Linked DNA regions of Callithrix jacchus. The protein of the gene in region 2 interacts with the protein of the main gene of each other region in a pairwise test. Links are inferred from orthologs where the notes say so. Each region holds a gene or a part of one and is shown on either strand. Other genes may lie near its edges. The genes, in order: BEX5, EMILIN1, MTMR9, BEX3, NMI, placenta-specific protein 9-like and ZC2HC1C.

Region 1 (4,167 bases), on a different chromosome or scaffold from region 2:
AAGATACCTCTGTGTACATGCAAGTATTTCAAAAACTGGAAAAAAAACAGAAATCTGAAATACTTCTAGTCCCAAGCATTTCAGATTTTGAACCTGTACTCACCTATAAATCAATTGGACTCCTGATTGGTACACTCTTTGGAATCTTCCCTAAAAATGAAGGGCACCTGGAGGGCTGGAGCCTTGCATGTATAAATAGAGCAAGACACAGAGCTCAGTCACTACCTCATTTGATTCCCACACAGCTCTCTAAGACATTTATAATGTAATGTATCTGTTATTATCAGATATATGTTTCTAAATGAGAGATCTACAGGTAATATAAGATTTATAGGTCTTTAAATCATGCTTCAAGTGTTTATTAATTGTCCTCATTCCCTGTATAAGCTGATTGGCAAGTTTGTTGATTCTTGTTTTTTTTTTTTCGTGATACATACAAAACATAGGTATTAATTTTGAAAAAGTGAGAAAAAAAAACCAGCTAACCAATAAAAAACATAAAGAAATTTAAAAGTACCAGTAACTATACGACATAGAAAAAGCACATTCTGGTTTTCATATATATATATTTCACATAAATTATATATTTTATATATAGTGCGCGTACATATGGTTCTAAATGAAATAGCATATCTATAGACTACTTTTAAATTGCTTTATTAACTTTAAAGTGTGCAATAAACATCTTTCCATGAAAGCTGATGAAAATCCTCTTCTGACAGAAAAACTTCCAGACTAGATCTAAATGCAATCTCTAATCAGAAAATGGCAGAAGAATGTCAAAAGGTTCACATTAAAGGTATACTAGGAAAAATGCAAATTTGGAAAGCAGGGATTTTATGATTATTAACCTCAAAATTCAAGGCATAAGGCAAAACTCATCATGATGATCATGCTGAGGGGGGTCCCCTATAAGAATGCGCAGACTGTACCTCAACTGAAGTTCCCTAATTTTCCTCCTTAGCTCTCTCATCTCCTCCATGAACCGTTCCATATCATCTGCATCTCCGTCTATCATATCAATGTTATCAACAAGCCTATCGGGCACATCCTCTCCAAAATCCTGGGCACGTGGAGCCTGAACCCCTCTAATATTTCCTTCAGGCTCCTGGTCTTCACCACCTCCTAAAGTGGGAGCTTCATTCTGCACTGGGGCCTTCTCCACAACTTTGTTTTCCTTGGGGACATTTTCCATGTTGAGTTTTTTATTTCCTGTTTTTTCTTCCTAGAAGATCAAAAACATAAGAGGGAATGAATACTTGGTAGGATTCAGAGCTCTGTTTGAGAAAAGTTTTCCCAGCTGAGAAACTTTGTGAGCCCTGTAGGGGACACCCCAGACCCAGCGCTGCCCCAAAGCCCACCATTTTCCCTGAAAATCCCTTGCCCAGGCCACTCCTACCACCAAAATGCAGGACGAGTTGCGGGAGGGTGACAATCATAGAAAGACCAGACTTCATTCAGCTCCCTGGGATCCTAATAAGCTCTCCAGGAGTGCCCCTTTACTCCCTTCTTCCCTCATCAGACACAGGCTTGCCGTTTTTGAAGACTCTCCTAAGTTTCTCCTGCACTTAACTCGGGCAGGAAGGGCCGTGAGTCACCAAGATTCTACTCTGATCCTTGATACCCCTACACCAGAGGGCCCCAGGCAACCTACCTGCAGGGATGAGGCAGTCTTTCTCTCTTAGTCTTGAAATCTGCTGCACGAACGTACTAAAAGACCTGAAGACAAATGCGACAATTACCAGGACTGATCATTTGATCAAAGAACCGGTGCTGGGAGTTGATTTATGGTTCTCCTAGTATTAGCACCTTCTGTTTCTCCTCCATCCTGTCTCACGGCTTCTCTTCCCAACCTGTGACAGGCTATCCCACCTTCGAGAAATAGGCATCAAAGATTATTATTTCCAAAACATTTTAACCTCTTCTTTAGGCTCTCATCCCTACTATTTCCTCCTACCTGTCACCAAATTACCATTTCTGGAATGCATCTTGCCGGGCGGGGGAGTTAGAAGAGCTTGCTGAACGGATATGTGGTTTATTCACAGAGAATTTCAATCTAGGTATCCGTCAGGCCCTACTCCTTTGCCCACCATTTTATGCATCAAGATGGACGATAGGGAGGTATGTGGGCATTGCAAACTACGACCTGCTGCGGTCTCTGCGCTTTGTCATTCTCACTCCAGGATCTACAGCAGCGCCGACGCTTACACCGACCTACCTGCTGGGACCAAAAACAGTTTCTCGCTCCTAGCCTCTGTCCCTCAGTCAGAAGCTCGCCCGCCCAACTGCCTCAGTAGGGACCTGCTTTCCAGACCTAATCTCTGTCCCCCTCCTCTGCAGCAATTCCTCTCCTCGGCCCCCGTAGCCTATCATTTCCAGCTCTAAATGGGTAAAGGATGAAGAAAAGATACCTAGAACACAGGCCTAAAACCTTGGTAGGGTCCGCACTCCCCATCCCTTGGTTGCCTGCTGCACCTCCCTCTGGCGGCCATGCAGTAAGCAGGCCATTTCCTAGCAGTCTCCTCCCCCGGCCGGACTCAATCAGACATTGCCTGATCGTCAGCCTCCTAGGAGATCTCAAATGGTATGCATTCTCAATCCGGGCCCCTTGGGAGATCCCCTCCCCAACCGATCCATTTCTCACGCTAAACTGCTGTGTATCTGGAAAGGGGTCGATAATCCAGTCGTGGACCCGCTCTTGTCTTTGCCTTCTGCCGCCCCCACACCGCTCAGAGCCCACCAACCTGCTTAGAGCTCCTGTGGAGTCGGCTTCTACCACTTTCCTCCTTTCCTGGGCAGCTGGTTCGCCTGCCTTCAGAGCAACAGCGAGCCGTCCCACTGCCACCGACGACTACCAGACCGCAACTAGGAGAGACTAATCAACGCGTTGGCTCTGGGTCTCCTAAGGGCCACGTCACTGTGAGCTCAGATTTCCAATTACCATTCATCCCGCAGTGCGGCAGGAGGGTGCGGACGGGACTGTGGGCGGGGCCACCTTTCTCCTGATTCTTGCTTTCTCCACCACCACCCACCCCTCTATTTTTTAATTTAGCGATCCCCAAGACCAAACGGGTCATAATATTTTGTAGTTTGTATTTGGCTTTCTCTGTTTTCTGCTGGAGCTTTTAAATAATCGCTTCCTCCTCTTCTATATCCTTAAACGCACACTTCTCTCACCTTCGCATCCCAGAAAATAAAGCCTTAACAGTTTTGCAGGCCTTTGTCCCAGACTGGAACCCGAAGAAGGGGTGGGGAGCACGAGGCTAGGAAGTCTGGAAAATAGGTAGGAAGTGGCATTCAAAAATTTTTTCACTTCAATTACTTTCCTTTTTGTTTATTTGGGAAGGTGGATCCTTTTGTTTTTCATCAGCATGCATTCATTTTGTTGTTTTTATTACTAGACAATACAATTATTTTCAGTTGAAAAAACAGGATTTTAGTTGTAAAAATATGACAATCTGTTTCGACTGCTGAATCATATTATAAATATAGACCTTCCAGAATGCACTCCCCTACCTCCTTTAAGGACTTTGCCATATAAGGGTGGTTTCTCTTGTGAAGGATCTCTATCTGCACGTCTTTCCATGAGGTGATGCGTTGAGTCTAATAGAGCCTTGCTGGTGGGTTTTCATATCTTGAGAACTTGTGACAAACTGACGATCTCCTCTAAATTGTATTAGTGTAACTTCACCTTACAATAACAGCCCTGAGAATTCAGGACAATAATTTGGGGAAGCCACCCTGACAGATGAAAATGTATTAAGATGGACACATAGAGGGGAAAAACAAACACTTAGGCCTACAGGAAGATGGAGGGTGGGAGGAGGGAGAGGATCAGTTTACGTATGTAACAAAACTGCACATGTACTCCTGAACTTAAAAGTTAAAAATATATTGTGAAATTACAATGTTAAAATAATATTGTACTGGAATAAATATAGAACTAATGAGAAAAGAAAGCCTATTGTCAAACCCAAATATGGAAAAATGCTATTAAATCGATTGAAATATTTTGAATCAGTGGGGAAAGGTTAAATTGAAGAAATTGTGTCAGAATAATCGGCTATTTTGAAAAACAATGAAGTGCCTTATTATTCTCATACACTTAAAAATAAACACTAGATGTTTGCACAAAAAGACATAAAACCATTAAGAATAGAACTTAGC
Region 2 (4,345 bases):
GCAATGCATGCTAGGATTTGTAGTCTCAACTGTCTGTCCCCATGGACCAAGCTTCTCAAAGGAATGTCCCCTTTTTCCTGCAGCTGTTTGAAGGATCTTGGCCACTTGTGGGCGTATGTGAGCACATTCTCTTTCTCAGCCTTCTTTTTCTCAGTCTCTCCACCTTTTGGGTGCTCTCTCTCTCTCACATACAGACACACACAAATACACACACATACACACACACGGGCAGGGAATTTCTGCGATCTCATTAACTCCCTTCTGTTCCCCTTCTCCCTGGCATAGGGCATGGGGGATTCCCCTGTAGCCTGGCCCCACATTTCCCCAATTCATCGGATCACTATCTGGCACTTCCCACCCCCACAGCAGCTCCCATACTCACCTTCTCCCCCCAGCCCACTGAGGGGACTGCCTGCGCTGGAGCCAGAGAGGTTGGGGCGGGCAAGCCGGGTCAAGGGCCTTGGTGTGGAAGATGCAGGCCCCAGTGCTGGAGCAGGATTCTCTGCACAGTCGTCGCCCCCATAACCCTGACAGCACCTCCACTCCATGTCCGTCACTGTCTTGTAGGCCACACGGTAGCGAGGGCGGAGGAAGCGGCGGTACCTGGCAGAGGCAGGAGGCCTCTTTATTCCTCCCTGTACTGCCAGTCATGTGACCCTGGTCCTTGTCCTTAGGGTTGAGCAGCTGCTGGTGGGCAGGACCTGTCCTTCAGGTTGGGTCCCTCTTACTGTCCAACATGTGGCCCTGCTCAGCTGACAGCTGTCAGCTTTTTTTTTTTTTTTTTTTTGAGACAGAGTCTGCTCTGTTGCCGAGGCTAGAGTACAGTGGCAAAATCTCAGCTCACTGCAACCTCCACCTACTGGGTTCAAGGGATTCTCCTGCCTCAGCCTCCTGAGTAGCTGGGATTACAGGCATGAGCCACCACGCCCAGCTAATTTTATATTTTTAGTAGAGACAGTTTTCTCCATGTTGGTCAGGCTGGTCTCGAACTCCTGACTTCAGGTGATCCACCCACCTCGGCCTCCCAAAGTGCTGGGATTACATGGGTGAGCCACTGAGCCCAGCCTAGCTGTCAGCTTTTTAACCAAGGGCTAAATCCCTGCTCCTCCTTCCCTTGCCCTGCACTGGAACCTTGAGCTCCTCTGCTTGAGCCTGAGCCACCCCAGAGAAGGTTTCTGGGGCTGGTGGATGAGGCAGATTTGCCCTCAGTATCTCCTCAAAAGCCAAACTGCTGCCTCGGTATCTCCTCAAAATGGCTGTGATCCAAGCCCTGCTCTGCCCTTGATCCCTGCTTTGTACGGATTCCCTGAGTTGGCCACCCACCATCTGCCCTCACCCACTTCCCACCAAGGGTCCATTCCTCAGCCCTGGGACTCACATGATGCTTTGGGGACACTGGGGCTGGCCCCAGGCACATGGCTGGTACTTGACATATGTCTCCACTCCATCCTCAAGGACACAGCTCACTGTCCGGGTCACCACATAGGCACACCAGTTCCTGTAGGTACAACCCCCTCTGCATCCAACAATCAAAGACACATGCCCTGGGGGAGGGGCCAGGGGCTACCAGAGGGGCTGAGAATGGTTCAAAAGATGCAGAACCCTTGGGGATCCATGAGAGCAAGGCCTTTGGCAGGGGCATCCTCCCTATCCCCCACGCTTTCCTGTGTAGCTGGAGCAGATGAAGACTTTTCAAGATAGGGAGAGGCGCAGAATGGAAAACCACAACCACAGAGCAGTCAGTCCCCATGGCGGTGGGGTCCTAGGGAACCTCTGAAGGTACCCGATCATGCGTGTCCCTTTCTGGCCGTATCTGAGTCCCCAGCTTGGCAGGCTGTGTGAGCACGACAGCCAGGGCCCTGTGGGTGATCTCCTGGACACCGGCTTCCACCCCACCCCTCCGGGATGGGAGCAGACCAGCTCCAGGTTAAGTAGAGAATAAGCCATTGATGAGCCTGACCCTCTTGGGGCCTGCAGTTCTTCACTCCTGGCCCCATTCATGCCGGCCTCTGATCTATGTCTGGCTGGAGGGCTGGAGGGAACAGAGCGGGAGTGGTGTCAGAATTATAGATTACTGGATGGGGCCAAGGGAGTCCCAGAGAGGGACAGAAGGTCTCCCTGAGGCTCTGGGGCTGGGAGACACAAGGCATCTGGCAGGAAGTCCTGGCCCATGCCCCTCAGGGCAGCTTCCCTGGGCATGTAACTGCAGGGCTCTGGTGCTCCACAGGGGGATGTGGGAGCAGAGCCCCTAGGTTACCCAGGGAGCGCATGTGCTCAGGGGATCCTGGAAAAGGCCTCGTTGGAAGGTGGGCATGTGAGGAGCCACCTGATGGATGGGCTTCCTCACTTCCCCTCTGCCCTGCATTATCGGACACAGCCCAGGGCAGGGAGCTAGGCGGGGGCAGCATTCTGACCCCCTTCTCACCACCGGAGCCTCGGGCTGGGACCCAGACTCTTACCTGTGGCGGCTGGCAGGCCGGGGGGCGCTCTGGGCCTGGGGCCCCCCGGGGCTGAGGGCCCCACCGGCAGCCGTGTAGAGGCTGTAGCCTCGAGGAGGGTAGCTGGCAGCCCCCGCAGCTGCGGTCAGCAGGCAGCAGAGGTAGCAGCTCCAGAGGGCGCGGGGGGCCATGGCGGGGCGCTCCGCAGTGGCCCTCAGAGACTCATCCCGTCCGGCTGCTGGCGCCTCTGCCGGCCCGGGGATGCCGCTGCTCTGCAGGAGGGCGCGAGCCCGTCCCGTCCGACCCGGCTTCCTGCCGGCAGTCCCCCGGCCACACGCCTTCTTCTTGGCTGCCTGGCTTGACCCCTCTCCCCTCCTCTTTTCTCCTCAGCTCCTGTCCGTCCTGCTCGGTTCCTTCCGCTCTCCTCTTCACTTCTGAGGGGGTTTGTTCTCTGTGCCCCCTCTGGGCTCCCGCGCCCCGTCCCTGCCCCTCTCAGGAGCTGCTCTCTGAAGCTGTGTCCTGCGCGACCGCCCCCTTGTCCCAGATGGCCCTCTTCTGGTCTCCCTGTCCTCTTTCCCTGATGACAGGATCCTGGGGGTGACAGGGCTTTGCCCCTGCGGCTGTTTGGAGGCGCGAGAATGGCCGTGGGGCGGGCCCTGGCCTCCTCCCTCCCTGCTGGCTCCCCTCCCTTCCCCCCGTCTGGCTGGCGGTCTGGCCTCCCCCTTCCTCTCCCAACCTCTCCAACCATCGTGCGCCACATCTGCTTCTTGTTAACTCCGGGAAAGAGGAGAAAAAAAGGAAAAACAGAAATGCCGCCGGGCTTGAGGCCAGCCTCTCAGACGGGCCACATGGAGCCCGGGCCAAAGCTGGGGAGGAGGCCCAGGGCTGGTCACTCTGACGGGAACAGGAGCCAGAGCCTCAGCTCTCCTGGGACTGGAGCCGGCCTCTCCTGGGGGAGAGGGAGGGCCCCAGAGAGGGCGCCCAGAGGGGAGGGCAGGACGGGAGGACTGGACAGGGAGAATGAGCTTGGAGGGCTCAGCAGGACTTCACTCGCCATCTAGTCTCCTTTTAAGGATGTGAAAATTGAGGTCAGAGTGGGAGCGTAACTTGTCCAAGGTAATACAGCAAGTTAGTGGTAAGGCTGAGAGTACACACTAAATACCAGGTCAGTGACTTAGGAGAAAGGAAGAGAGGAGAGTGGGCTGTTGGGCCAGGGAGGAAAAGGTCAAAGACTCCACTGAGGCAGACGGGAAATCCAGAGATGATAGAAGAGGAAGAAAGGTAGCCGGGTGCAGTGGCTCACGCCTGTAATCCCAGCACTTTGGGAGCCCGAGGCGGGTGGATCACGAGGTCAAGAGATGGAGACCATCCTGGTCAACATGGTGAAACCCCGTCTCTACTAAAAATACAAAAATTAGCTGGGCATGGTGGCGCGTGCCTGTAATCCCAGCTACTCAGGAGGCTGAGGCAGGAGAATTGCCTGAACCCAGGAGGCGGAGGTTGCTGTGAGCCAAGATCGCGCCATTGCACTCCAGCCTGGGTAACAAGAGCAAAACTCCGTCTCAAAAAAAGAAGAGGAAGAAAGGCATTTGGCAATGGAGGCAGGCTTCTGTCAAACAGTGGAGGGCACGTAGGCAGGGAGAGAAAACCTTTCTTTTTTTTTTTTTCTTTTGAGACGGAGTTTTGCTCTTACCCAGGCTGAAGTGCAATGGCGCGATCTCGGCTCACCGCAACCTCCGCCTCCTGGGTTCAGGCAATTCTCCTGCCTCAGCCTCCTGAGTAGCTGGGATTACAGGCACGCGCCACCATGCCTAGCTAATTTTCTGTATTTTTAGTAGAGACGGGGTTTTACCATGTTGACCAGGATGGTCTCCATCTCTTGACCTCGTGATCCACCCGCCTCGGAC
Region 3 (3,799 bases), on a different chromosome or scaffold from region 2:
CAGGTCTCAAGTTGCTTTGCCTTCCCAGTCTGAGACAGTTTCTGTCTCTTCTCTGGATGTCAGCTGTCACATCTAGTTCCTCTTGGCTTATCTGCCATTAGTGGCTTCCTTCCACCTCAGTTCACTTCTAATCTTATCTGTTGAGGCGTCCCCTAGTTATCGTTGTGGGGAAATGGCCTTAGATGATCTTGCGGTTCTAAGTGTGAGCTTTAGTGCTTTGATTTTGTGCAGCGACAGTGGCTGCTCAGAACTTCTCTCTGCTTGCTTTCGTGATTGTTGTCACAGTCACAGTGTAGGGCTCGTGAGCTCTTAAATGAGAGGTTACAGGTGTACTTCCTATTCAAGACTTCTGGGACAATGTACCTAAAAGCGACTGTCAGGTTTAATAACTGATGAGAGTAGCTGTTCGGGAGAAAAGCCACGTTGGCAGCTGGGTGGCCTGACGGATGATTTCACTGCTTTGTACCAAGTCTTGGGAGCTTAGAGACAGATGATGGGATGCAATCCTTGTTGTTCTGTGGAAGAATTCCTGCCACACTGGAGTTTCAGTGTGGGTTCCATGCTCCTCAGCCTAGAGCTGGGAGAAGCTCTCTATTAGGTAAAATCCTACAGTAGGCATATATATTGAATGAGACTGCTCTTCGGCCTTAAAATGTCTCTCTGCTGTTTACATTTACATCACAGATAACCATTAATATTTAGTAATTCCTGGATTGAGAATATAGGTTCATATAATAGAAAAATCAGCATGGGTGGGTCAGGCTTTAGGCTGTGGTTCTGCTCCCCCTTTCTGATAGAGCCTGACATTTGCACCTGCATAGAATGGCTCATTAGGACCCATGGCAGTTTGGTTTGTAGAAAGTGTTTTAATGAATCATAAAACCTTCGTACACTTGCCATCTGCTGACACGGTATGGCCTGGCAAGTTTTCATGCCTCCTTACTCGAGTATCTGTAAGGCCTTATTTTGGTATGATACAGTTAACATAGGGCTACGGAGTGGAAACATATTTCCTTCTAGTTCATAATAAAAGGATAATTGTTATTATTTGGGAAAGAAGCGGTTGGCTGCAGTATGGAAAGATTGCCTCTGAAGTAACCGAGAGAGAGTCTGTGAGCACATGTGCTACAGCTTAGGCTTTCAGATGACAGCCTGTGTGCTGGAGTTGTCACTTCCCTGGTGAAAATGGTTTCACACATTTAAGAGATCTTACATGTCTGAGTAAAATTCTATAATTATAAAAATAAAGGATTTGTATTGGGAAATCGGAAAGTTTATGACATTGTAAATTATCAACTTGTTTTCCTGAATATATCATAGAATGGTATTTGGATCTACTTGATAATTTCGTGGGATATTTCCAAAGAATCAATGAGCAGGTGCATACAAGTAGTGACTTTTCAGATATTGTGTTCAGTTGCATTATTTTCAGTACCTCAAGATTCCTGTATATTTTAGAGTATAATAAGACACAGATGTGAGTTGTGGAAACAAGACAAAATAATGTATTTGGGAGGCCGAGGTGGGCAGATCACAAGGTCAGGAGTTTGAGACCAGCCTGACCAATATGGTGAAACCCTGTCTCTACTATAAATGTAAAAAATTAGTCGCGTGTGGTGGTACATGTCTGTAGTCCCAGCTATTCGGAAGGCTGAGGCAGGAGAATTGCTTGAACCCAGGAGGTAGTGGTTGCAGTGAGCCGAGATTGTGCTGTTGCACTCCAGCCTGGGCGATGAGCAAGACTCCATCTCAAAAAAGAAAAAGGATGTATAATACATAAATTATATTATCCACAAATATAATTTTAATCCATTGTATATACCTTTCTTCTTCTGTTTTCCATTCCTGGATTCAATAGGTATTTTCCTACGTTGGAATAGATCCTCTAAGTATTTGGATGAAGCATATGAAGAAATGGTTAACATCATTGAATATAATAAGGAATTACAAGCAAAAGTCAATATCCTTAGAAGGCAGTTGGCAGAACTGGAAACAGAGGATGAGATGCAAGAGAGTCCCTGAAAGGTCTCCTCACACCCTTCGCAAGGACCTTCCTGGGCCTGTGTCCACCTCTCTCTCCTTGTGCCCTTCAATTCACTTTTATACGGTAGCCTTGAAGTGAAGGCTTTAGACGTGGGTCCCCTCTAATGTAACGGATTTCTCAATACTGTATGAATAATGAAACTATCATAACTCATGTTTCATGTGGCCTGTTAGGTCCTGTCACTTGGAGCAGGAAGGAGGTGCTAGTCATTTTATTTTTACGTGAAATAGATGACCTATTTAATGCCATTTGTGTTCACGCCATTTTATCCAAAGCTTTTTTTCTGTGTCCACTCCCTAAACAGCATTCTAGAGCAGTCAAGGAGACAGTTAATCTCTCTAGGGACTATTTGGTGGTTTAAAAAAAGGGTCAGACTTTTAAACACTCTGAGCATAGAAATGTTTCTCAAAATAGTAGTGACTGATAAAGCAAGAATTTTGTGTTTAACATACCATTTCCAGTGTCTTTGCCACATAAAATACCTATTTTCTTCAAAATCGTTTTGGACTAACGAAGCTGAATCTGTTCTCATTCTTGTTTGTCAAGAAAGGAAAATCTGTTGTTGAAGGTAAATTATTTCTTCAAGCGCAACAGGTGCGGCCCTCTGATATTTACATTGAGAAGAGTGAAATTTATTTTCAGGTAGACACTAAAAGTATGTGCAATACAGAAGTAAAGTAGGAATTTGTTACTGGTTGAGAATTGCTACTGTTGAATTGTTTTTATTTTAGGTTTTGACCATACATAGACAATGTGTATCAAATGCTGGTTGTAAAATTAAATCATCATCTAGAATAGAGTTAATTTGTTATAATCAAGCTACACATACGGTTTTCTTAAACCAGAGGTGATGCACTGCCCTTGTCTAAAGTTCTTACTGCACTGGTTTATGTGTGTATGTGTGTTTTACTGCGTGTGTGGTTTTAGTTTGTAAGTATTCTAAGAGTTTACTAATACTAACGTTAAAATTCTCATGTTAACCTGAGCCTTTTGCAGATTTATTTTGACTCTATTGATTTGTCCATTATGTGTTAAGCAAATACAGCTTAAGTGAAGGGGGAAGTTTATAAACATGAAGTAACTCTGTGTTTCCAACTTCAGGACAGATTGGAGTGTTTCAGTGTTACAGAAACAGTGATGGCCGTGTTCATGCTCTGCTAGTTTATGTCTGCAACTCTAAATATTTGTGGTTTGGTATTTCGCACCTACATTTCTGTTAGGTGACATTGCTCATTTTAATAAATACGACCAATTCTAGTTTTTCTTTAAAAGGATAGTCATGAGTAATCTTTAAAACCATTTCTGTACCATCTGTATATAACCATTTTGGTAAAGAACACACCACACTGAACCCTGCTTTAGAGCTGTGTGTTAAGCTAAAAACGTAATTTTTTTTAAATAGACTAGTAAAATCTGTGGCCACATTGAGAGCCTTTGAAAATGGCAAATACTTTTTTCATCACCAGTTGCCCAAGTTTTATCTTTCTTCTGCTTCCTCAGCCTCGTAGCAAAGGCTGGACAGCAGCCCATAGTCCACAGTCTCTTTGGGAGAATTTGCCTGCTGCCTTCTTTAAGCTCAGTTTATTCTTGACTTATTTCTTTGCTGTAGTTATGAACCTTGAGGCATTAAAACCCCATGGCAAGGAGCATAAGAGGTGTTCTTATATCTCTGCATTGTGTGAAGTGTCCGTCTTAGTTTTGTAAAAAAAAGAAACAGCCTCGCTTTTTTGTGTCCCTCAGAATTGCTTGCTATGT
Region 4 (3,469 bases), on a different chromosome or scaffold from region 2:
GGACTTGTAAGCATGAGTGATAATTCCTCCAGTTCTCCCTAAGTACCTGGTGGGGGTCCCAGTCCTATTAAATGTTGGGGAGTTGGGGACAGAAGCCAGCCCAACACAGTTCCACATTTCATCAGTTCCACTTAGCAACCCTGTAAGACAAGCGTTGTTCCCCATTTCACAAAGCAGAAAACAGGCTCTTTAAAGGAATGTATCTGTAATAAAGGGAAGGTTTATTATTTCAGTTAAGAGTGAAAGATAAAGTTTATTCTTCAAATTTGTTGAGGCAGTATTGTTATGTATCTGGACTACATTCATAATCCATTCATAATCTCATTTAAAAATAATTTTCATTGCTTCTCAAACTCCAGATAATAAAAGAAAAAAAGTGTCACATACCTTTTTTTTTTTTTTTTTGAGACAGAGTCTTGCTCTGTCGCCCAGGCTGGAGTGCAGTGGCACAGTCTCAGCTCAGGCTCACTGCAACCTCCGCCTCCTGAGTTCAAGCATTTCTCCTGCCTCAGCCTCTTAAGTAGCTGGGACTAAAAGCGTGGGCTACCTCGCCCAACTAATTTTTTGTATTTTTTTTTAGTAGAGATGGGGTTTCACTGTGTTAACCAGGATTGTCTTGATCTGCTGACCCAGTGATCCGACCCTTGGCCTCCCAAATTGCTGGGATTACAATTACCATAGAAAAATATGCCCCAATTAACACTCTGGTGTATTTAATCTCAGATTTTTTTTTTAGTTCATCTGTTATATGTAAGGATACATTTTTAATGAGACAATACTAAATGTATAGATTGTTTTTTAAATTGCTTTATTAACTTTAAATTTTTCCATGCACATGGGTGAAACTCTACTGCTGACAGAAACTTAGACTGAGTGCAAAGGCAATCTCCAATTAGAAGCTGGCAATACAAGACCCACTTGACACATGGAAATAACATAGGGTTCACAGCAAACGGATCAGTAAAGGCATATTAGGAAAATGCAAGGAAAAGGAAAACAGCGAGAATCACAGTATTAATCTCATGATAAATGGCAGGAATCAAGGCATAAGGCAAAATTCATCATGATGGTCGTGGTGATTCGAGAGCTCCCCCATAAGGATACGCAGACAATTCCTCAACTGCAGCTCCCTAAGTTTTCTCCTGATTTCTCTCATCTCCTCCATGAATATTTCCATATCATCTCCATCTCCACCCATCCCATCATTGACCTGCCTATTGGGTATGGCCCATCGAAAATTAGGGGCAAGTCGGCGAGCCTGTGCCCGTCGATTTCCTGCAGGCTGGTGGCCTTCACCTCCTCCCAAAGGGCGGTCTTCCTCTCCATTCTGCATGGGCTGCTCCATCTCTTCGTTTTCCTGGTGAATATTTGCCATGATGAGATTTTTTTTTTCTGGTTGTTTTTCTTTGAACACAAGTAAGACAAAGGCAAGGAGAGAGACTGAATGCTTGGTACACTGACCAGCAGGATTCAGAGCCCTGATATCAAAGGATTTAATTTCATATTTTCCCACCTTAGAAGTTCCGTGCGTCCTCTAGGGGGCCTCCAATTAGAGCCCCTCCCTCCAGCTTTCTCCCCTTACCTCCCTTCCCCCAAACCCACCATTTTTCCTTTCCCAAGATTCTTTCTCAGAGCTTCGCAGGCAGCAAAATGGAGGACGGGTGTAGGAGTGGGGGGATGGGGTGGAGAGGGCTGGGGTCTCAGACTGGGCTTTCCTCACGCTCGGACCCCCGCACCACCACCGTCCCTCGCACCGACCTGGGCCTATCCTTGCGGTCTCCTCCTCCTCCGGATTCTCGCCCCGAGGTGCGCCGCCGGGACACTTAGCCTCGCAGACCTGCAGATGGGCAGGGGTGGGGGGATGGGGGCTCCTGCAGCGGAACGCTAGCAAGGATTATCCACCACCCAGCTCCTTCCCCGCCCCGGGCCCGGGCTTTCCTTGCGGCCAGCGCCCCGCGTCCCGCACTCCGCGCCCCCACCCTCAGCCGCCCCACCCCCCCGCGGTGTTCAACGTTTTCCTGCAGGAACTCGGGGGTGGTTTTCCCTCGCTCTTGGTTGCTCTGCTGCCCCTAGGACCCCAGCCGCTCCAGCTTGCCCACCCCAGGTGGCCTCTATGTTCCCAAGAATGTTGGGGTGTGGAGAAAACTGGCGGGGACCCCCTGCGCTGTTCTGCGCCCGTCGCGGGGGTCCGTGAGCCGCTGCCGGCCAGGCCGGGGTGCACGGACCCCGGGGATCTTACCTGCTCCGCTTTTCCCCGGGCCGGATGCCAGCCCGCCGAGCGCAGGGCAGCGGGGAGCTGGTAGCCAGACGCGAGTGACGACTGCACCGAAGGCTGCGTAGCTCTGCAGCTCTGGGTCACGTGAGGGCCGCGCGTCACCGCTGAGCTCGCCCCTCAACTTGGGCGGCCAGTGCAGCAGGATCTCCCCCCTTTCCCCCACCCCCGCCGCCAAATGCCCGCGCAAAAAGCAGCCTCCCTACTCCCGTCTGCGTGAGGTGCCCCAGAGCGCACCGCTCTGTCACTCTTCTGTCCTCTCCAATCTGAGGGCCCACAAGTGGCATCACTGCTCTGCGGTTGGAGTTTGCTCTCCTCTGGTTACCAGGGAGAGTCTGCACTATCCTCCACCACCGCCTCCTCTCACTCTAGGCCTTGGCTTTGGCCTTTTCTACTTTCTCTTCCCTTCTACCTGTCACTTTGCGCTGCATTCCCACCCCTACCCCTTGCATGTGCACAGTCACCAATGCCCATGTAGCCCCTGAAGTCCTACCCTTCTGGAAAATTTAGAGTGAGGGCAAAGGTGGGAAGGCAGGACGGCACTTGTCAGAAAGAGGGGCAAGGAAGTGGAGTGGGCAGTATCTATTTCTTTTTGTTTCCTTTTCTTTAAAAATCTGCATGCTTCAGAAAATTATAAATTCTAACTTTTCAATTTTGAAGGAAATGCTGGCCGGTGGCCATGGCGCACCTGCAATCCCAGCACTTTGGGAGGCCGAGGTGGGCGGATCGGTTGAGGCCAGGAGTTCGAGACCAGCCTGGCCAACATGGTGAGACCCCTGTCTCTACTAAAAATACAAAAATTAGCCGGGTGTGGTGGCGCGCGCATGTAATCCCAGCTGCTCAGGAGGCTGAGGCAGGAGAATCACTTGAACCCTGGAGGGAGAGGTTGCAGTGATCTGGGATTGCATCACTGCACTCCAGCTTGGGTGACAGATCCTGTCAAAAAAAAGGAAATGCTTTATCCTACAGAATGAAATCTTTCACTGTTTATGTTGACCTGTACCACACAAAATATTTTCTCTGAGCTCCACACACATCAAACCATTACTTTTGATACCTACTAGCTCATTTAAAATTTTATCTTCATAAAAAGTAGGCACTCTTTCTGAACACAATTGGTGTTTTCAAAATGATCTGTAAAGTAAATTTTCAGGGAGATGTCCAGTCCTCAGATCTTCACCATTTCATGTAACTTTG
Region 5 (3,799 bases), on a different chromosome or scaffold from region 2:
TCCTTATCTGGAAAATTCCTAACATATAGCAACAATAACAACTAAAATTTACTAAGTTCTTATTAAGTGCCCAACATTGTGCTAAGTATTTTATCAACATTTGCTAAGTACGTTATCAACAATAACAACATTTATTAAGTTTGTATTAAGTATCCAACATTGTGTTAAGTATTTTATCAACATTTCTCATTTAATACTCAAAGCAGCCTCATGAAGTAGGTACTACCACAAAGCACCTGTATAAAACTCTGTGGTTTATAAAGAACCCATCCCACATCATGCTTCTAGGAAGGGATAAAGCTGGCACTCAAAGCCAGATCCTCCCCATTCAGGAACCACCAGCTCTGAACAGGGGCCCTCACCATGGCAGACTTAGCAAATATCAGGTCTCATTCCAAATCTCTAACTCCTAGTCTCTTTCCATTCATTAGCCATGTTCCCTTAGGTAAATCCCTTAAACATCCTCAGAATCTGTTTTCTTGGCTATGGCATGTCTATATTTAATGTACACAATAATAACTGTCCTATCCTCCTACATTTATGGAATTGTGTGAGTATAAAATGCCACAATGTCTCTGAGAACAGTATAGTTCTACTACCGTGAAATATTACTATCATTACTATTTGGAGGTAGCACGTGGAATAGAAAGAGGCTGATGTTGGACATCACAGCACCTGAATTTAAGTCCCACAGTCATGGCTTTCTAAATAAGAGATCATATTCAAGTCACTTGTCTCAGAGTCAGTATTCTCATCTGTAAATGGGAATAATCATACCTGCTTCAGGGTGTCACTATGAGGATAAGAAATAATATAAGTAAAAATTGCAAAGCAATAGCTAAATGTCTGTGAAAAAATCTTTGAAAGTCCAAGCGCTTTCCTAATAACATGGTCATATTTTTTAACATTAGTCATACCTTCTTCTTTTTCAAAGGTGATAAGTGCTTGTCCTTTCTGTAACTCATAACGAACTTTCGAGCTCACTTGAAATGAACAGGAGATATTTTGAAACTGGCTGTCATTCTCAGGAATTTCAAGTGAAATGAATTTCATCTTTGTTTCAGGAATATCCTCCTTAATCTAATTCAAACAAAAATGTTTGATTAAAATCAAGACAAGAAATAACTAAAGTCCTTCCAATGATAATGTAATTTGGTCATCCAATAATTATTCCCACTGATTTTAGAATCTTGTAGAACTCTGAGTATGGTCTTACTTAACATCTTTAGTAATTGCTTTTTTCCATGTAAGTGCTCAGTAGAGTAATCAAATGATGATCTTTTAATATTATTTCACAGATGAAATTTAAAACATATAATCCTCTCACTTTTTCTAATCAATGTTTAAATTGTCAATATTGTATGATGCTCAATTCTAAAACTTACATCGTTCACGTAGATGAGGACTATTTTTAAAAGTGCCAACAACAGACTATCTCAAAAGGAAATCATTTGATATTATGTTTAATTTCACTGCAAAGTATGAAATATAGAGTTGGGTATAATTTAGTATTTCAAATCCAAATAATTTCATCCAAAAAGAAAGACTCCAGAATTAGATTATTTTATTTTAATTATTTATTTTTATTTTATTTTATTTTTGAGATGGAGTCTCGCTCTGTTGCCAGGCTGGAGTGCAGTGGCACAATCTCAGCTCACTGCAACCTCCACTTCCTGGGTTCAAGCAATTCTCCTGCCTCAGCCTCCTGGGTTCAAGCAATTCTCCTGCCTCAGCCTCCTGAGTAGCTGGGACTATAGGTGTGTGCCACCACACCCAGGTGATTTTTGTATTTTTAGTAGAAACAGGGTTTCACCATGTTGGCCAGGATGGTCTCTATCTCTTGGCCTTATGATCTGCCCACCTTGGCCTTCCAAAGTGCTGGGATTACAGGCATGAGCCACCGTACCCAGGCCAGAATTAGATGATTTTAAATTTATTAAATTTTAAAATTCCACCTTCCCCAACACCTGCCCGTCAACTTTTAACCATCACCACAACTTAGGTTTATAAAAAATGAGAAGGGACAGTATGAACAAAAATTATAACCTGAGGCTGGGTGCGGTGGCTCATGCTTATAATCCCAGCACTTTGGGAGGCCGAGGTGGGCCAATCACCTGAGGTCTGGAGTTCGAGACCAACCTGGCCAACATGCTGAAACCAGTCTCTACTAAAAATACAAAAATTAGCCAAGTATGGTGGCAGGTACTGTAATCCCAGCTACTCAATCCCAGTAGGCTGAGGCAGGAGAATCACTCGAACCCAGGAGGCAAAGGTTGCAGTAAGCCAAGATTGCATCATTGCACTCCAGCTTGGGCAACCAAAGCAAAACTCGTGCCTCAAAAAAAAAAAAAAAATCATAACCTGAAAGATAAAGGTAGGTGGTTATACTTAGCTGCTTAGAATTATTGGGATTAGCATATTTATACAGCCCACAAATGAGATAGGGTGCTTGCATTTCTATTTCCCATGGTTATTTTGCATGCTGACAGTAATACAAATAGATTAGAAATATTCAGTGAGTCAAACTTATTCTTTGCCTTTACACGTAACTGCAGTGTAGATTCTGATTACGGTAAGGCTGTCTTCAAAACAATCTACAATGTCTGAGAAAAGGCAGAGTGTTACCCAATAATGCAGAAATATCCAGTATATGCTGAGGAGCCAAGGGCTTTCTGAAATTAGATTGAGAAAGTTTGATTCTATTTCTGACCCCACTGTGACAGAGAGCAAATTCACTTAAGCTCTCTGATCACGGTTTTGGTCCTCTGCAAGGTGGGTCGTCTAGGGCTGGCTGGTTTCTAAAGGCTCTTTGAGTTGTAAGACTAAATGATTCTAGCTTCTGTCTGAGAAGTAACTAGAATCTTAAGAGGCTTCTGCACAAAGTCACTCATTTCATAAACACAGAAAACCTCACTTCCCGATATTCAATATCCTATCTCCCACTTCAGAAACAAAAAGTGTCAATGCTTTAATTTTTTTTTTTGAAATTTTAATAATATATTTAATTAAGCCAATATATCTAAAGTATTATCATTTCAACATGTAATTAATACAAAATTAATGATATCTTTGTATTTTTGTTTCTAACCTAACACTTCAAAATCTGATGTGTATTTTTTTTTCCTTTTTTTTTTTAATTGCATTTTAGGTTTTGGGGTACATGAATGCTTTAATTTTTTAACAATCTGAGTTGTTAAGAAGAAAAGAGAGTGAAATTTATGTATAATTAAAATACAGAAAAATTTAGGACAGAATTTAAATGGTGAGGATTAATTTATGTCCAACTTTTTAAACCGTGAAACTCATTTAAATTACCAAAGCACCTTGGATGAGAAGAAGAAGAAAAGAACTCAGTGAGAAAATCCAGAATTTGATCCAACAATGATTTACTAATGATCATCTTTTTTGGGTAAATTTTATTAATTTTTTGTTATTGTAAATTTGTTAAAGTGTGCATAAATAATAGGAAAATGCATGTATCCTAAGTAATACAGCAAGGGCATCAGTACAACCTCACAGCAATAAGAATGAACAGATCACAATGACATGCAGCAACACAAGTCTCATAAACACAATGTTAACACAAAAAAGACAGAAGAGGGCATACCATGGGCTTCCCTTTAAATTAAGCAAGAGCAGGATGTTTGAAGCTAAAATAGTGGTTACTTTTAGAAGCAGATAAGACCCAGAAAGGAACCCAAATGGGGTTTCTGAGGTGTTGTCATGTCTGTCTATCATCAGAGTGTTAATCACACATTTTAAAAATGAATTTTGTATAATTAAAATGCTTTTCCCAAAA
Region 6 (3,744 bases), on a different chromosome or scaffold from region 2:
TGTTGTTTATTTCTGGAGTTTAGTATTTTAGGATTGTGGTTGACTGCAGGTAACTGAAACCATGGAAAGTGAAACCACAGATAAAGCGGGCTACTGCATTTAAAATGTCCAGAATAGGCAAGTTCATGGCGACAGAGATCGGTGGTTTCCAGGGGGTTGGGGGATCGGGAATGGGATGTGACTGCATAACAGGTACAGAGTTTCTTTCTAGAGTTTGAACAGTATTCTGAAACTGGTGGTAATGACTGACAACTTGTGAATGTACCGGAAGACACTGCATTTGTATGATTTTTTCTTTTTGAGACAAGGTCTCACTCTGTCACCCAGGCTGAAGTGCAGTGGCACCATGATGGCTCACCACAGCCTTGACCTCCTGGGCTCAGGTGATCCTTCCACCCCAGCCTCCTGAGTAGCTGGGACTACAGGCACATGCCACCATGCCAGGCTATTTTTTGTATTTTTTGCAGGGATAGGGTTTCACCATGTTGCCCAGGATGGCCTCGTAATCCTGGGCTCAAGTGAACCTCCCACCTTGGCCTCCCAAAGTGCTAGGATTATAGGTGTAAACCACTTCCCCCAGCCTTGTACAATTTAAAATGGTTAAAATGATGAATTTTACATTGAATTTCACTTCATAGGAATTTTTTTTAAAAAAACAACAAACCACTTTAATGTACACATAAATTCCCTGGGGGTCTCATTGCAATGGAGATTTGGATTAAGAAGTCTGGGTGGGGCCTGAGACCCTGATCCCCTTGCTTTTCACCTATGGCCACATTTTTAGACGCAAGGCCACTCGAAGAGCCCCCACCTCTGTGAATCAACCCCTGCTCATCTGCTCCTGTAATTAAGGAGGACTAAAGCACAGATGGCGGGAATGGGGGTGTCCCCAGGTCTGAGCCTGGGGGGGGGTTGTAGGCCTCCTCCAGGCATGGAAGTGGAGGGAGAGGGGGCTGTAGTTAAACGGGTTACTCTGTCAGCAGACACAGAGGAGACAGAAGGAGGAGCTTTTATTGCACACGAAGCTGCGGAAGGAAGGCGAGCGGACAGGGCTGGCTCTCAGAGGGTGCTGCCTGGCAAGGGCACCACCTCCAGCTGCTGGGCTCCAGCTCCGGGGCTCAGAAGCCATCTGAAAGAAAGCGGCGGCCTCCAGTGAGCAAGCTGGGGTGCTGCAGGGTCCCTGGCCTGTGCTGCCCAACAGTTTCTTCCCTCCTCTCCTCAGCCCTCCGGGACACCGGGATCAAGAAGAGAGCAAAGTGCAACTCCGTCCCTTCCTGATCAGTGGGGTGCCGTCTTCCCTGAGGGTTTTGGGGTGGAACAGGAGGGGTTTCTAAGGGGGAAATGAAAGGAGCTGAGGAGCTTTAGTCCGGAGAAGGCCAGTGAAGGAGGCAGCTTCTCATCGCTGGGGTGTGCGGAGATGGTATCTAGGGCCGGCTCTTCCCGAATTTCGTCTTGACACTGGGCGGCAGCGACCGGGTGTGGGTTGGTGAGGAGGGGTGATGCCGTCCCGCTTCTGTCCCCGGGGGCGCTGGGGCCCTCCCTGCTGTCCAGCCTACACCTGTGCGGTGGAGCAGCCCCCCCCCCCCCCGCCTCTGTCCAGCCCCAGATGACAGCAGTTCAGAGGCTTTCCTCTGCCACCTGCAGTGCTTACCTTCTCCGAGGAGGTCGGGGGCCGGGCTGAAGGGTCCTGGGGGCACGTTCCAGGCCAGCTCCTCCAGCAGGCCCAGCAGGCCTTTCACCTCTGTCGCCAGGTGCTCCACGGTCTTCTCTACAATCTATTGTGGGAAGGGGGTAAAGTCGAGGACAGGAGTGGTGCCGCACTCCGCTTCATCAGCTAGGCCCTAAGGAGCAGCTAGCGGTCCAGTGGGGTGCAGTGGGAAAGGACTGGGCGCTGCGGGAACTGATTTTCCTCACTCAGGCTCTGCCCCTACCTGCCTCAGTTTCCCCAGATGACAATATCCTAGCGGGCTCGCTCTCTAAGGCTCCTTCCTTTTTGGCACTCAGTCACAGGTTGGGGTGAAACGCCTTTAGAATACCTTCTCCCTTTTGGGACTTTGCAGCCTGGCGCTCACATTTCTTTTGTTGCTCTGCTCCCTGGTGGTGTCTCTGCTGAATGACAGATTTGGGATTTTGAAATTTACTCAGGGTTCTCAATAGTTATTTTTTTCCCCTGTGTATGCCATGGACCCCACTGGCAGTGTGATGAAGCCTACAGACCTCTTCTCAGAATAATGCCTTAAATGCAAAAAATAAAGCATATGGAATTACCAGGGGCATCGATTGCATTAAAATATTATTCATTATTAAAAATTAAACTTTTTGGCCCAGCACAGTGGCTCACACCTGTAATCCCAGCATTTTGGGAGGCCAAGGTGGGCAGATCACTTGAGGTCAGGAGTTTGAGACCAGTCTGGCCAACATGGAGAAGCCCCATGTCTACCAAAAATACAAAAAATTAGCCAGGCATGGTGGTGCATGTCTGTAGTCCCAGCTACTCGGGAGGTTGAGGCATGAGAATCACAGGAACCCTGGGGCAGAGGTTGCAGTGAGCTGAGATTGAACCATGAATTCCACCTGGGTAACAGAGCAGGACTCTGTAAAATAAAAATTTAAACTTTTGGATATAACATACATATTGACCAGCCATAGTGACTCATGCTTGTAATCCCAGTACTTTGGGAGGCTGAGGTGGGCGGATTGCTTGAGCTCAGGAGTTCAAGACCAGCCTGGGAAACATAGCAAAACCTCACTTCTCCAAAAAAAAAAAAAAAGAAATACAAAAATTGGCCAGGCATGGTGGTACATGCACCTGTAGTCTCAGCTACTTGGGATGCTGAGGTGGGAGGATTACTTGAGCCTGGGAGGTGGAAGTTGCAGTGAGGTGAGACTGCACCACTGTACTCCATCCTGGGTAACAGGGAGACAATGCTTCAAAAAAAAAATGTATTTATTAAGTCACATGATTTAACATCAGGCCTAACAACAACAGAAAAGTTGACATAGGAAGGTTATAAATAATGTGTTGAGATATTCATAACTAGAACAAGGTGAAATGATCTGGATTTCTCTTGATGACCAAGCTATAGTACTGTTAATACCACTGCTTGCTGTCTGTATTTATGAGGAACGGGAATGCTCAATTTCAGTTAAAGGCTTGCAACAATACAAATGCAAGCTTTTTTCCCCACAAGTTAGGAATCATGGCTAAATAACAAAATAGTGACTGAATTTCTACCTTCCCATCCAGCACTGATGCTGAAATATCTATCTGCATGGGAGCAAGTAAGGCCTTAGGAGAAGCAGGGTCCACTGGGGGCTGGACAGCCAGACTAGATAGGAGGGTGATGCTGGACAAGGCAGCCACAGTGCAAGATTGGCCTGTACAGTCTGACATTCCAAAGCAAGCTTGCATCTGCCCATAAAAACACCATCCTAGGCCAGGCCTGGTGGCTCACCCCTGTAATCCCAGCTCTTTCGGGGGAGGAGGTGGGTGGATCACCTGAAGTCGGGAGTCTGAGACCAGCCTGACCAACATGGAGAAATCTCATCTCTACTAAAAATATAAAATCAGCTATGCGTGGTGGCACATGCCTGTAATTCCAGCTACTTGTGAGGCTAAGGCAGGAGGACCTCTTGAACCCAGGAGGAGGAGGCTGTGGTGAAAAGAAATGGCACCATTGCACTCTAGCATGGACAACAAAAGCAAAGCTCCCTCTCAAAAATAAACCCAGTCTTAGAAGGTGG
Region 7 (4,450 bases), on a different chromosome or scaffold from region 2:
TCAACACTGAGCTGATCTTAAAAGAGTAGACAGTTAAAGCAGTGTCACAGATCCTAGTCTTGGGAGGTGGCAGAATACATTGCAAAGAGTGAGGAGTTCTCTCCAGGTAACGAAAATGCTGCATTTTTCCTTTTTGTGTCCTTTAAATTTTCTACAGTAAACGTTTATTACTTTTATAATCCAAAGGGCACAAATTCTAGGTCTAGATTTTTTTAGTCATTCCAACCAAGAGTTAAATGCTGACCCTGCCACTTAAAGCTGTTTGTGACCTCAAGCAACTCACTTAGGCTATCCAAGTCTTGATTTTTACATTGATACAATGAGAGATAATGAGAGAATCACATGAAAGCTCCCATCACAATGCTGGCAAACAGTAGTAATCAAGAAATGTTAATTTTAGATGTCAATTCTTCCTACATGATACATGAATTTTCCCTAAAGAAAACTGATGACGACATAACAGACCCCTACAATGATCCCCACATCAAGTCACATCCATAAGGCTCTTGTTACCTTGGCTGAAGCTGGCCCCTTCCAGTTCAAGTACTGCTCTAGTTCTGTGCCCTTAGCCCGGGCCCTGGAGGAGTCGAACACTTTCCTCTTGGACTCCCGCATCCTGCTGCAGACTGTGGAGTGTCTCTCCAGCCTGAGCAAGAGGAATTTGCGCCCACAGTGGCTGCACTCGCCCAGTTGTGGCTCTTCAATGGAGCCGCCGGACCCTGAGGAGTCTGGTGCCATGGACAGGCTGGAATTTCTGGTGGATCCCTGCAAAGAACCGCCTGGTGTTTCTAAAGGCGGAGAGAACTTCTCCATCGACGGCTCTGAGACTCGGTCTCGAATTTTGTTATTGCTTGCCACCAGCCTTTCCCTTTTGAGCCTCTGGATTCTATAATCAGAGAGCTGGAATGGACTCGAATTTTGTTGAGACCATCCCCAAGCTTCATCCTGTCTCCTGTCTCTACCGAATTCTTCCTGAAACTCAGAGTCTGGGGAGAAGATAGGTTTGTACATGGTGTTGCTATTATTACCTTTAACTCTTCTCCTGGGTAGCATAATTTTCTGTAGCTCTCTGTTTTCATTTTCCTTGGCCTGTTCCTTTTGCTTCTGGATCTTTCTGAGTTCCTCCTCTGTCTTCTTCAGCTTTCCCCTCAGAAGACTCTGCTTCCTCCGGATTTCCTCCTCTAAGTTCTCTCCTGCAGCTTCTAGTCTTCGGATCTGCACCAGCTCAGTCCTCTCGAAGTTTACCGCGGCCCTCTCCTCCTGCACCGCAGCAAGAACAGTACCAGTCACGGAAAAGTTGACCTGGTCCCTCACACCAGGGTTGCTGGATGAAAACGCTCTCAGCTCAGGGGGCCTTGGGTAGACATTCTGGTCCCCATCCATGCCAGCCTCACCCATACTGCACGACTTCCGATGGACCACAGGTTTCAGTGGGTACGCCCGGTCCACCCCAACTCGTTTCTTTGTCAAGGGAATAAAGTCCTGGTTATTGGCTTTGGGATACCAGGATTGAGGGCCTGACGAGTAAAACGAACACTTTCCTTGGCCCTGGGAATCACTTCCTGGATCTTGCTGGCTGATTTCAGTACAGTGGGGATAGGAGTAGCTCCGCGCTTTTACGTGTGTGTTCCATTTGGGGTGAGGGTAGACTTTATCCAGCGTCAACTCTTTGTTGCTCAAAAGCTTCTTCTGGAAACTGTTCCTCAGGTGCCCCTTCAGGGACTGCTGGGAAGAGTCACCTTGTTCGGAAGAGTCACCTTGTTCGTAAGAGTCTTGCTTGGCTGAGTGGGGCCCTGGAGCTTCTGTTGTATTATGTGGGAGCATAACGCCCACAGGCAGATGTGAGGCCAACTGGAGACCAGCCATTCAGGGCCTGGACTGACGCCTATGAGAGATTTAAACCAGATACATGGGAAGGGTTTGTCTGAGATTCACTCTTGGCTGCTAAAGCAAACTATTTCTACATTTGCCCTGCCCACATTTCCTGAAACTTTTCTAGGGACAGTGGTGCTCGATCTGCCAAAGTTTCCCTTCAATAAGCATTCGGTGAGTGATGATGATGCACAAGACACTGTGTTAGGCCCTGAGGATAGAAAAAACGAAGGTGCCACAGGTGTTTCTACTACCTGGCTTTCTTTCCTCCACCACCAGCCTCTGCCACGCACAGTACACTCTATAGTAGGTGGAAAAAGCATCGGATTGAAAGTCAGGATTTAGGCTTGTAACAGCACAAGTGACTTCTGCCTTGCTGGGCCCTGTTTCTTCACCTGTAAATTGAAGGGCTCCCTCCGAGTCCAGCCTCGCCATTTTGCAGGTGAGACAGCTGTGCCCCAGAGGTACTGAGTGGCACAAAGAGCTCTCAGGTCTTCCCTCCTACTGGAACCATGCTTGACTCCAAAGAGCACAGAGGCTGCTGGGTCCTGGAGCAGGTGCCTGGCTGGCAAACCCTCATCCCAGGAGTCCCCGTGGCGCAGACGGTAAAAGTTTTGTAATCTGAGCGTTGAGGCCACCTGACCTGGCTGCGGCCTGTTTTAGATCCCGAAGGCTGAAGTCACGTTCTGTCACGAAGGGTCAACTGTGGCGCCCCCACTGCGGACTCCGCCTTTGGGGACAAGCCCTCTCGCCCTCCTGCCCTTCGGGCCCTTGGGAAGTGGAGGTACTGACCCCAAGTCTCCCCGCCCTTCTGCATACCTCAGGCCCTGCGTACCCAGAACTTGTACCTGCGAACCGCTCCTGCTCAGGGGAACCCCCAGGCCCCAGTTTCCCAAATCTGACCTCCCCCGAGACCGACGGCCGCGCAGGCGCTCTCAGCTGGGCTCTGTTATTCCCGGTGCCTGGAGACGGAGTCACTGGCGCGCCGAGCCCCGCCCCTCGCCGCGAACTCCTCGGGGAGGCGCGCGCAGGCGCCGTGCACCAGCGACCCCAGGCGGCCAGGGGCTGGGGTGCGGTCAGTCCGGGCGTCACTTGACCCAGTGTCCGGCCAACTCTGCAGCTCGGTCCAGCCCTGCCCTTGGGGAACAGGGGAGGGGCGGGAAGAGTCTTTCTGGGGCTCCATCAAAGAAGAACTTGTACTTTACTGAGAACGATGCTCCCAGACCCTGGGGTGTGCCTTTCTCGGGCAAAGGGCGGGGGCCCTGGCTGTGCCCCCGCGTGTTTCCGCCGCAGGATGCAGGCGTCCGCCCGCCTGGCGGGAGCGGGGCTGCTGCTGGCCTTTCTCGGCGCGCTCGGCTGCGCTGGGCGGGCCCCAGGTATGGCTGCACGCGCGCGCTCGCTGCTTGTCCTCGCCAAGGCTTTGGAACTTGCTGTCGACGTTTTTGCTACGCTGTATCTTTCCGGGGTAGCTTTTGTGGCCAATCTAATTATTTTGATATTATAATGTTTTACTCTCACGTGGTAACTCTGGCCGTCTCTACTTAGGGCCCAGGAATGACTCAGCCAAATGTAATGATGATAAAGTTAACTACCAGATGAAAAATAATCAGTATAACCTGGTTTCAACACTAAATGATACTCTATAACTTGTTGACATCAAAAGAAGGTTTATTTTTCTTCGTTTTGGTTCATCTGTGTAAACCGTTTGGAACAGGCAGTTCACTTATTCCCTGTAACTGCTCAATTCATGCACATGGAAAATAATGTAGACAGTAGTCATCAGTGTTAATACTTCACATTACAGCTGTTACATGTTACAAAGAAATTCCTTGGTGGACCCTCCAGGTCAGTCCTGTTTTTGTTTTTGTTTTTAATTCTTCGTTTTCATCCCTAGTTGACTCCACCGCCTCTCCATGTGTGCAGCCTCTCCATGTGTGCAGCTTCAGACACTCCCCACTCAGGGTCTGCCCGCGGCAGAATTTACCAGCTTGCCCCTCTCTCTCTCTCTCTCTTTCCCACCCCCTTCCCTCTCCTGTGAGAAAGAAGGGCCATTTTCTTTCCATGAGCTCTCTTCTCCGCCTCCCCGGTTCAAGAGATTCTCCTGCCTCTTCAGCCTCCTCAGTAGCTGGGACTATAGGCACAGGCCAGCACGGGTTCAAGAGATTCTCCTGCCTCAGCCTCCTCAGTAGCTGGGACTATAGGCACAGGCCAGCACGGGTTCAAGAGATTCTCCTGCCTCAGCCTCCTCAGTAGCTGGGACTATAGGCACAGGCCAGCACGCCCGGCTAATTTTCGTATTTTTAGTAGTCTTGACTTCACGATCCACCTGCCTTGACCTTCCAAAGTTACAGGCAGGAGCCACCATGCCCAGCCCCGAATTAGTTTTTTTCAGTACCCTCCGGGAACTGACTTTGTCACTTTACCCCTGCATTTTGTTATTACTATTTTTATTTTTTTTAATTTTTGACTCAGAGTTCTGCTAGATACCCCTGCATTTTGTTTTTGTTTTTGTTTTTTTGGGTTTTTTGTTTGTTTGTTTTTGAGACAGAGTCTCGCTCTGTTGCCCAGGCTGGAGTGT

What was found.
Region 1: the proteins of EMILIN1 (region 2) and BEX5 interact in binary tests that used the Homo sapiens proteins (3 or more experiments, as listed by UniProt). The two-hybrid records come from large-scale screens. The link is inferred for Callithrix jacchus from reciprocal best matches to the Homo sapiens genes EMILIN1 and BEX5.
Region 3: the proteins of EMILIN1 (region 2) and MTMR9 interact in binary tests that used the Homo sapiens proteins (3 or more experiments, as listed by UniProt). The link is inferred for Callithrix jacchus from reciprocal best matches to the Homo sapiens genes EMILIN1 and MTMR9.
Region 4: the proteins of EMILIN1 (region 2) and BEX3 interact in binary tests that used the Homo sapiens proteins (3 or more experiments, as listed by UniProt). The two-hybrid records come from large-scale screens. The link is inferred for Callithrix jacchus from reciprocal best matches to the Homo sapiens genes EMILIN1 and BEX3.
Region 5: the proteins of EMILIN1 (region 2) and NMI interact in binary tests that used the Homo sapiens proteins (3 or more experiments, as listed by UniProt). The two-hybrid records come from large-scale screens. The link is inferred for Callithrix jacchus from reciprocal best matches to the Homo sapiens genes EMILIN1 and NMI.
Region 6: the proteins of EMILIN1 (region 2) and placenta-specific protein 9-like interact in binary tests that used the Homo sapiens proteins (3 or more experiments, as listed by UniProt). The two-hybrid records come from large-scale screens. The link is inferred for Callithrix jacchus from reciprocal best matches to the Homo sapiens genes EMILIN1 and PLAC9.
Region 7: the proteins of EMILIN1 (region 2) and ZC2HC1C interact in binary tests that used the Homo sapiens proteins (3 or more experiments, as listed by UniProt). The two-hybrid records come from large-scale screens. The link is inferred for Callithrix jacchus from reciprocal best matches to the Homo sapiens genes EMILIN1 and ZC2HC1C.

What each region holds. Positions count from the first base shown.
Region 1 is NC_133524.1:98,239,024-98,243,190, reverse strand, and holds BEX5 (protein BEX5), read right to left. Parts: upstream 2,868-4,167; 5' UTR 2,645-2,867; intron 2,585-2,644; coding exon of another isoform or gene 2,397-2,584; exon of another isoform or gene 2,237-2,396; intron 2,104-2,236; exon of another isoform or gene 1,958-2,103; intron 1,873-1,957; exon of another isoform or gene 1,810-1,872; intron 1,720-1,809; 5' UTR 1,655-1,719; intron 1,226-1,654; 5' UTR 1,196-1,225; coding exon 860-1,195; 3' UTR 642-859; downstream 1-641. Other genes in the region: T-complex protein 11-like X-linked protein 2, read left to right, coding at 2,397-2,584.
Region 2 is NC_133515.1:87,938,476-87,942,820, forward strand, and holds the start of EMILIN1 (EMILIN-1), read right to left. Parts: upstream 3,079-4,345; 5' UTR 2,630-3,078; coding exon 2,460-2,629; intron 1,499-2,459; coding exon 1,379-1,498; intron 604-1,378; coding exon 383-603; intron 1-382. UniProt on the Homo sapiens protein: Involved in elastic and collagen fibers formation. It is required for EFEMP2 deposition into the extracellular matrix, and collagen network assembly and cross-linking via protein-lysine 6-oxidase/LOX activity.
Region 3 is NC_133514.1:10,730,961-10,734,759, reverse strand, and holds part of MTMR9 (myotubularin-related protein 9), read left to right. Parts: intron 1-1,858; coding exon 1,859-2,022; 3' UTR 2,023-3,799. UniProt on the Homo sapiens protein: Acts as an adapter for myotubularin-related phosphatases. Increases lipid phosphatase MTMR6 catalytic activity, specifically towards phosphatidylinositol 3,5-bisphosphate and MTMR6 binding affinity for phosphorylated phosphatidylinositols.
Region 4 is NC_133524.1:99,447,555-99,451,023, reverse strand, and holds BEX3 (protein BEX3), read right to left. Parts: upstream 2,316-3,469; 5' UTR 2,240-2,315; intron 1,838-2,239; 5' UTR 1,759-1,837; intron 1,405-1,758; 5' UTR 1,376-1,404; coding exon 1,040-1,375; 3' UTR 792-1,039; downstream 1-791. UniProt on the Homo sapiens protein: May be a signaling adapter molecule involved in NGFR/p75NTR-mediated apoptosis induced by NGF. Plays a role in zinc-triggered neuronal death.
Region 5 is NC_133507.1:79,070,502-79,074,300, reverse strand, and holds part of NMI (N-myc-interactor), read right to left. Parts: intron 1,081-3,799; coding exon 918-1,080; intron 1-917. UniProt on the Homo sapiens protein: Acts as a signaling pathway regulator involved in innate immune system response.
Region 6 is NC_133513.1:43,250,028-43,253,771, reverse strand, and holds the end of placenta-specific protein 9-like, read right to left. Parts: intron 1,776-3,744; coding exon 1,652-1,775; intron 1,130-1,651; coding exon 1,119-1,129; 3' UTR 642-1,118; downstream 1-641.
Region 7 is NC_133509.1:109,982,787-109,987,236, reverse strand, and holds the start of ZC2HC1C (zinc finger C2HC domain-containing protein 1C), read right to left. Parts: upstream 2,849-4,450; 5' UTR 2,721-2,848; exon of another isoform or gene 1,886-2,720; 5' UTR 1,867-1,885; coding exon 514-1,866; intron 1-513. Other genes in the region: ACYP1 (acylphosphatase-1), read left to right, coding at 3,086-3,248.